Coturnix japonica: one gene and its partner. The protein of the gene in region 1 interacts with the protein of each later gene in a biochemical or structural test. Links are inferred from orthologs where the notes say so. Each region holds a gene or a part of one and is shown on either strand. Other genes may lie near its edges.

What was found.
Region 2: the proteins of TAL1 (region 1) and LMO2 form a complex in vitro, tested with the Homo sapiens proteins (2 studies listed by BioGRID). The link is inferred for Coturnix japonica from reciprocal best matches to the Homo sapiens genes TAL1 and LMO2.

What each region holds. Positions count from the first base shown.
Region 1 is NC_029523.1:19,453,964-19,457,935, forward strand, and holds the start of TAL1 (T-cell acute lymphocytic leukemia protein 1), read right to left. Parts: upstream 2,801-3,972; 5' UTR 2,658-2,800; coding exon 2,644-2,657; intron 1,406-2,643; exon of another isoform or gene 1,258-1,405; coding exon of another isoform or gene 1,256-1,257; intron 404-1,255; coding exon 1-403. UniProt on the Homo sapiens protein: Implicated in the genesis of hemopoietic malignancies. It may play an important role in hemopoietic differentiation. Serves as a positive regulator of erythroid differentiation.
Region 2 is NC_029520.1:6,398,283-6,402,446, forward strand, and holds the start of LMO2 (rhombotin-2), read left to right. Parts: upstream 1-1,364; 5' UTR 1,365-1,596; coding exon 1,597-1,603; intron 1,604-1,683; coding exon 1,684-1,861; intron 1,862-4,164. UniProt on the Homo sapiens protein: Acts with TAL1/SCL to regulate red blood cell development. Also acts with LDB1 to maintain erythroid precursors in an immature state.

The DNA.
Region 1 (3,972 bases):
TTGCCCCAGGTTGTAGAGCATCGCCCTGCCGGGGGGCTGCAGCGGCAGCGCGGGGGGACTCAGCTGCACCATTCGGGCTTCGCAGGCGGCTTCGGCGGCGCGGCACGGCTCGGCTCCCGGCGCTCTCTGCATCGCCTCCCCCGCCGCCTCTCGGCTTTTTATGTCCAAGGAGCCCCCCCGGCGAACCAACTCGATGACGGGCACGGCGGCGGCGGGGGGCCCGGGGGAGGGTCGGCCCGCCTCTTTGGCCGCCCCGTTGAGCAGCAGCTGGGGCTCGGCCGGAGGCTCCATGCCCCCTCGGCTGCTGTCGGGCTCGCTCGTGGGCTCCGCTTCGGGGTCGTGGCGGCGGGCATCGCGGGGGTCACTGCTGGGGGGCGGCGGGGCGGGCGGCCTGTCCATCGTCCTGCGGGGAGAGCAGCGCTCGGGGCGGCCCGAACCCGACAGGGGGGTCCCCCCGCTTCTGCGGCGTGATGTCACGCAGCGGTGGCGTGACGTCACGGCAGAAACACCTCCAACCCCCTTCCCTTGTACCCCTGTACCAATGACCCTGGAACCCCCCCCATCCACACACACACACCGTACCCACAGGGGCAGGGAACTGGAAGGAGGCCGAGGGTTCTCCCCGCTCAATTTTGAGGACATTTCGGTCCATTAGGGGGGATTTTTTACTTTATTCGTATTAGAATAATTGTTATTAATTTTCAACATGGAAACCAAGCTCCAGGCGCTGCCCAATGGAGGGGAGAAACGCTCACACAAAGCCCCGCACCCCCATGAGCTCAGCAGGAAGGAGGAAGGGGCCCCGGCTCGGAGCAGCCGCGGCCGCGCACGGCAATTGTCTGCGGCCCCGCTCCCTTCTTTCTCCCCTATAACGAAACTATTGCGACAGAGCCGAGGGCGGGCAGCGCTATCGCGACTATTTCTCCTTTTCCCACCGCCCTCTTCGCTCTTTCTTTCTTTTTTCTTTTTTTCTTTTTTTTTTCCTCCCTATAAGTAACGGTGCAAATCTCATTCCCGACATCCCCGCTGCTTCGCTTTGGGTCAATAATTATCATTTCTGGGTTGATCCAACCCCAGAGAAAATTATTATTATTATTATTTCGATCACACCTCTCCATCTGTAATAATAATAATAACAGTCATCATAATATCAGCCGTTCAACCCAAAGCTTTACCGCCTGCCCCCGCCCTGCCAGCCCTCCAGAAAGAGCATCTAATTGCCTATTCCCATATTGTATAGGAAGAGATTACTCACATGTGTCATATTTAAGTAGGGACACCGCGAGTCTCTCCCGTTTCAACAAAAGCGCTCTCAGTGTCAGGCTGAATTTACTCCTCCCACCTCGAGGTACTTACGACTTTACAGAGAGGAAGGACACCCGCATCGGGATAAAACTGCTAAAGCCTGGGAGGAAGAGAAGGGGGGGAGAGAAAGGGAGAGAGAGGGTGGGTCTGGGGGACACGGGGATGGCACCGAGGGGACGGGGGCACCGCGCACAGCCCCGGCACACGGCCCGTAGTTATAAGGAGAGGGGAGAAGTGGTGTCTTTGGGGGGAAAAGGATGAGAAATTTAAGGGGAAAGCTGGTATATTTGGGGGGAAATATAATATATTTAGGGGAAACATTAATAAAGAAAATTTAAAAAAAAAAAAAAAAAAAAGAGGGAAAAAAAAACCACGCATATTTTGGGGCTGAATTAAGTGGGGTTTTGTTGGATGTCTCCTCGGGAAGGAGATTTAGGATGGGGTCGGGGTTGGTTTGTTCCGACGGGGCCGCTAATAGCGGCGGGGCCGCTGCCGGAGCCGCGGAGCTCAGCGCGGAGGACCGGGGCCGGTGTCCGCCCGTAGCGGCCCCGCTGCGATCAACAGGAAGGAGAGATCCGTGCCCCCCCACCCTCCCGCAGCAAAATGCCGAGCGGGGGCTTTGCTCTTCGTTAAACAACGGAATAAACCCGTCGGCTTCTCCTTTGGTGTTTTTCTATTTTCTTTCGTTAAAACGAAATAAACCCAAAAAACGCCCCAAATCCGCCGCTTTTTCGTTTCATTTAGAGGTAATTGTACGGAGAAAAATGGAGGGGGGGGGGGGGGGGGGGCATTACATCTCCGCCCGTTCTGTTCTGCGCTTCCAACTCCTTTTGTTTTGCGACCGTGGATGGGCAGAAAATTTCCACCCCGGCCACTCACTTTTCCCTGTGCCCTTGGTGGGGAGAATTACCCCCAAAACGGAGAGAGAAAGGGATGGGGAACGGGGTGGGGAGAAACCCCCATGTGCCGATCGGCGGTCGGTTCAGGCTGGGCCCCCCCCCCTGGCTGGACAGTGTGTATCTCCCCGCATCGCCCCTCATCTCCCCATAGAGCCCCGATAGTGGGAACTGCACCCAGAGTAGAAAGAGGGGGGTCGGTTAGCAAGGAAAGACAACCTCAGCCCCCCCCCCCAGCCCCCATAATCAAAGGAGAACAACAGAGAGAAAAAAAAAGCCCAACCGTGGAAAAGCCGCATTTGGCTTTTCTTCCCCCTTCCACCTGTCTTTAACAGGCTGCAGAAGACCCCTACGTGCCCCCCAAAATCCCCCCTCCCCACCCCCTCCATCGTGCCCCCCTCCAGCCCCATCCCGCTGCTGGGCCCGATCCCTCCCCACTCACCATTTGCTTTTCATTGGGAAAAGTGAGTGGAGCCATTTTGTGGCCTACGCATGGCGGCTATATTTGTAGTAATGTGGGGTGGCTTCAGCTGGGGAGGCTCTAATTCCACATCACGTCCAGTTTCCTATTTAGTATGGAGAGCGGAACACTACTGCAATGTGGCCGAGAGAGATAAAGCCCCAGCAGTGGCCCGCCTGCCCTGATAAGCTTCTAAACCCATTATTTATGAAATGATTCATTATTATTTGGCAATTTTATCGAAGGAAAGCGGAAAATTATTGCAGGGATATGCATAGGAATAACTCCGGAATGCCTTCTAGCTTTTTATGTGTGTGTGCTTAGATGCTCTTAAAAAGACACTGCAATAGGAAGGGGAAAAAAAAGAAGGAGTAATAAAATCTTGCACTGCTCTGCCCGAGTCTGTGAATGGCGATCCTTTATTTTAGTCCTCTCGGAGGTTATTATGGCCCTGGTTTTTTTTTTGTTGGGTGTTTTTTGGGTTGTTTTTTTTTTTCCTGCTTTTTATTTTTATTTATTTATTTTTTATTTTCTTTTTCTTTTTGATGGAAGACGTTCTCCGTTCTTAATTAAATTTAATGAGCCGAAAGAAATCGGTGGGGATGCTGAAAGAGAGGGAAGGGGTGTGGGTTGCTTTGGTCCCATCCGCAGCCTTCATCCCCCCCCGATGCAGTGCGGGTGTCCTTAATTAGGGTTCGGATTGGGGTGGCTGAGCGTCCCCACTGGAGCATGGGGAGGGATCGGGCACAGCTCGGCCTCGGGAAATTTGGGATGGGAGATGTGGGGTGAGCTCAGAGCCGGGCCCAGGGGGGAAGTGGAGAAAGGGGGATGGGGTTCGTGGGGGTGAGAAGATGGGAATGGGAACGGGGGAATGGGAACGGTGCCGGCCTTCCCCGTGCGGGCTTTGGGGTATGGGGGTGTGGATAAAGGGGCATGAGGGCACCTCCCCACGTTGCCCGGAGGATGAAGCGGGGAGAGATGGGGATGGCACAGGGTGCAATCCGTTATCTCTACGTCCATCGGTCCTAAAGACGGCGGCAAAGAGCGATATTCGATCCATCGGGGAACCCTAAAATCAACGAAATTACGAAAGAAATGGCACGGGGAGGCTGGGATCACGGCGGGACCTGCCTCGGGAAGGGCCTCGATCCCCGCTATGGGAGAGTGGATCTTCTCCGAGCCATTCCCTAGGGGGAAAAAGGGGTCGGACGGGTCGGGCGGAGCGGCCGCACCTGCCGGCGGGGATGAGCTGGGGGTGCGCGGGTCGCTATTGTGTCCCCGCCACCTGCACGCACACGGGGCTCGGGCTGG
Region 2 (4,164 bases), on another chromosome or scaffold:
CACACACACACACACACACACACACACACACCAACTATGTTTGAAGGTGGTTGTTTTTGACACACCTTTAAAGCCAGTAAAAGAAATGAAATGTTCATCGTTCTGTCCATGAAACCTGGCAAAGGAGCTGCACTGTGACAGGAACATTTGGTTGTGAGAACAGCTGCCATACTGTAACGGCTTAAAATACATTGGAGATAACTCTTTTAAAGAATAAGATGTATTCTAATGACCAGTGATGGCTCTAAAGCATTGCAAGAACTCAGTTCAAAGCCCTTGAAATGAATAACAACCCTTCTGCTGACGTTACTAATCTTTGGCTCAGGCTCATTAATGTATTTCAGATATTATAACCCCGGTGCCAAAAAGATGAAAAAATTAAAATGTACTCATAAAAATAGACATCAAATGTTTTTCTGTTCTGGGAATTAATATAGAAGCTAAATGCTTCTGCTAGCGCTTTACTGCTGATCTTTTCTTACTGTTTCTGAAGGAATTAGTGGGGCGAGTGGCTCATTTCAGCCAAGGCTCTGCCTCCAGCAGCCACCCTGATCTCATGCCACACAGACTGGGAAAATGCTATAACCACTGTAATAGTTTTCACTCTAGCCCTGTAAATCAGCTCTTTCCGGGACGTGCTGTGCTGATGGAGAGGAGGGGGAGGAAGGATGGGAGTGGAAATAGAGACATTCGGGCAAGAGTTGCCCACCTTTAGCTTTCGTGTGATTCATTATGGATCAATACTGTGCTCACGAGCTTTTATAGCTCATTAACACCAAACAGCATCAAGATATAAATTTGTTATAGTGCTTACCGAGAACTCGGGGGCATCTGGAAGCAGACACGAGTGACCAGTAACTCAGGGACACAGCGGGATACAAAGGAAGCACAGATTAGTTGACCGATTTGTGCTCTAGGTAGAAAACAGAGCTCGAGTTCTGACCCAGCTCCTGATCTCCAGGTGCCGGTCGAAACGTGCGTGGCGTGGGCATGTGCGTGTGTATTGCTGGGGAGGACGAGGAGAGGGAGCGTGACCCGCTGTGATCCCTTGTGGGACTGGGGTGCCGGCAGCTCGGAGCCGGCCGAGGTTTCCCTCAGCCCTTCGGATGCTTTCGGGTCGAGCACTTCTCCGGGAGCCCCGCGCAGCGGTGCGGTTCTGATCCGTGACGTCGCGATGTGAAAACGCAGCGTCAGCTCGCAGCTCCGGCTGCGGGGAGCCCGAGCTCTGTCCCTTTAAGAAACCGAGCGAGTCGTGATGCCGTTGTTTGTGTTGCTAAACCCCCAGGAGTCCAGTTAAGAAACGGGCAGCTGTCTCTTTAAGCGTGATTTCCTTCTATTGTATTTGAATCGTGATCAGGAAAAAGGAAATGAAACCGGAGAGCCGGGGCCGCGCCGCTCAGCACTAATAGCGATGCCGAGCTCCCCGGCCGCAGCACCCGCCCGGCTCCGCGGGGCGAGCTGAGAACCGCGGCCGGGCAGGCACCGGAGAGCGGCGGGCAGACAGCGGTGGCCGCGGTAGTCGCCCCCCGCCCGCCCGCAGAGCCGCAGCCGGGGGGGCGGCCCCGGCGCACGGAGCGCAGGAGGAGCGCGGCGAGGATGGGAGGTTAGAGCCCGCGGGCAGCCCCGCCGCCGGAGCCCGGCAGCCGCCCCAGCCCGCGTTTGTGTCTCTCTTTGGTGTTGCAGGAGGAAATCCTGTGAATGTCATTGGGGGGCGGAGGGGGAGCGCGGCCGGTGACAAGGCGTCGAGAGCAGACGGCCTTTGCGGGGGCAGCGGGGGCAGATCGCACCACAGGCACGCTACAAAGGAGCCATCCCTGCCAATGTCATCGGCCATCGAGAGGAAGAGCCTCGATCCTTCCGAGTAAGTGGCTCTTTTTCTCCCTGTCTCCCCACCCCTCCGTTCCTCGCGGTGCCACCGACGGCAGCCTGCCGGCCCCGCGCTCCCCTCCGCTGTCACGGGGACCCCTCTCCGGTGGGGGTCTCTGGGGCCGGAGCACGAGTGCTGGACAGCCCCATTGGGAGGCGGCTGCGGGCGCAGCTCCGGGCCGGGCGCCTCCAGCCGCCCCTGGGTTGCGGGACCCGCTGCGGGGCTCTCGCCCAAGCTGAAAGCGGTTGTCGTTTGGGGTCCCCGGACCTGCCCCGCGCTCTTAGCCGATTATACCGAAAGGTCGGAGCTGTTATCTGTGGGTGCCCGACTTCCACATTTGCACAACGCGAGGCGCTTTGTAACTTTCAAGGTCTTTGCTGGGGGAGGTGTTGCGCAAAAGGCGTGCAGAGGGACCCCACGGTGCAGGTGGTGAGAATTCCCTTCCCCGTTTTTCATGTTCGTGGAAGGGGCCGAGCCGCAGGTCCTGTCCTGCAGCCGGTTCTGTGCAGCCTTCCCGGACATTCACCGTCCTTGACTGGGGCGACTGTGCGTGAAACAGCGCTGCGTGCCTTCGTAGCTGCAGTTACACCCCTTTGGAATCGTGATAAGAGAGAAAGAAAGAAAATCTCCTGTTTCAGATAGCACTTAAAACATCGCTCTTAGTTAAGTTTGGTCGTCCGCGGTTTGTTCCCTGCGAGATATTCAAGTGCCGTCTCTTGTAGCTGTGAGTGTGCACAGGGGAACCATCCCCACTGTGGGTTAAATCAATTCCTGCTGTGTTGTGTTTGATGTTTTGCGTGCTACGTTTTTTCTTCTATCATCTTTGAGAAATCAGCATCTGAACTCCTGGGTGTCAGTGTCCCACTTTGCACTGCAGTGCTTTAGTAGAATTTATTTGCTTTCCTGCTCAGTGTCCTACTGACTTCTCTGGCATGCAAATATGTGGTGAAGTGATGAAGAAGAAAGAAATTCTGTTCCTCAGAAATGTGTGGGGCTGTTAGAGAGCTGCCTTGTGATTCCCAGAACCTGCGAGACCAAAATATTTTGGGGCTGCAATCTCAGGTTTTGCATAATGTCCAATAAGGGACACTAAGGTGTATTCCCTTGCAGCTGCACTCTCTGTTGGGTGGCATGCAGAGCCCAGTCTCTAGGAAAGGAACTCTGGGGCTCAACTGAGAAAGCTTGGAAGAAGCAGGGCCTGCTCCTTTCACAGCCCACACTGTCTGGAGTTTCAATGAGAGCTCACAGAGCCTGGGGAGCACCGCTGGGGCCCAGCAGCTTGAGCACTGGGAAAGCAGTGGGCTGAGCGTCTTGTCTCATCACATCCCAGGGCTCAGCTCATGAGAGCTACAAGGATCAGTTTCATAGCACAGAAGTTGTTGAGCAGTGGTCATTTCTCCACCTTGTTCTAAGTCATTTTTCCCTAGAAAACTGCTAACCCGCTAAAAACACTGTATGGGTCTCCTTGTGGCAGCAGTTATAGGATTTCTCCTGTTGCCTGCTGGAATCCCAGAGCAGCCCAGTTCTGCCTTCGGCATGTCTCTGTGCTGCCAAGGGCAGAGATATGGCACTGGTGGACTGAGAACCCCAAACAGTCTGAGGTTCTGCTCTGCCTCCTGTTGAGCACTTTGGTCATGGTCCAGTAAAGCAGATAAACCTAAAGGTGCAAACCTGTAATTTCCTTTCCACTAGCAGAGGGCTGAAATGATACAGGTGCTAAAGGACTGATCCCAAAGTCTTCTTACGAGCTTCACTGGAGTCTGGATGAGGGTCTGTGTCACTGCAGAACTGAGCTCACATGCCTTCCTTTTAGGTTTTGAGCATCGTATAAAATCCAGGCTTCATTCAAAGCAGCAGCAAAGCATAAACCAGCTTGGCAGCAGCCACATCTGTTGTAGTTATTTATTTAATGCTGCTCAGTGAAATAATATCCACAGAATTAGTCTTCAAATTTACATTCCCCAGAGGAAAGCTGGCTACATGTAGAATCCCTCAGGTACCTTTTCTAATCCAACAGTCCTCTGTGAGGCAGAATAGCCTTTGCTCCCAAGCAGAACTACAGTCAAAGCTCAAAGCTCCAAGTCTACACGATGGGCTTGTGTGCTTTGGGGTGCATGCATAACTGCTCTATGGGGCTCTTCAGTAAGTTAGAGGTAGATCAAGATGTCGTCTGAGTTCATACAGGCATTTATAGGTAAATCTTAAAAATACTGGGGGAAAAAATAAAAGGGGTTTATTTTGAATGGAAACTGAAGCCTGGCTATGTGTTGTGTCAAAACAGGATTACTGGAAAACAG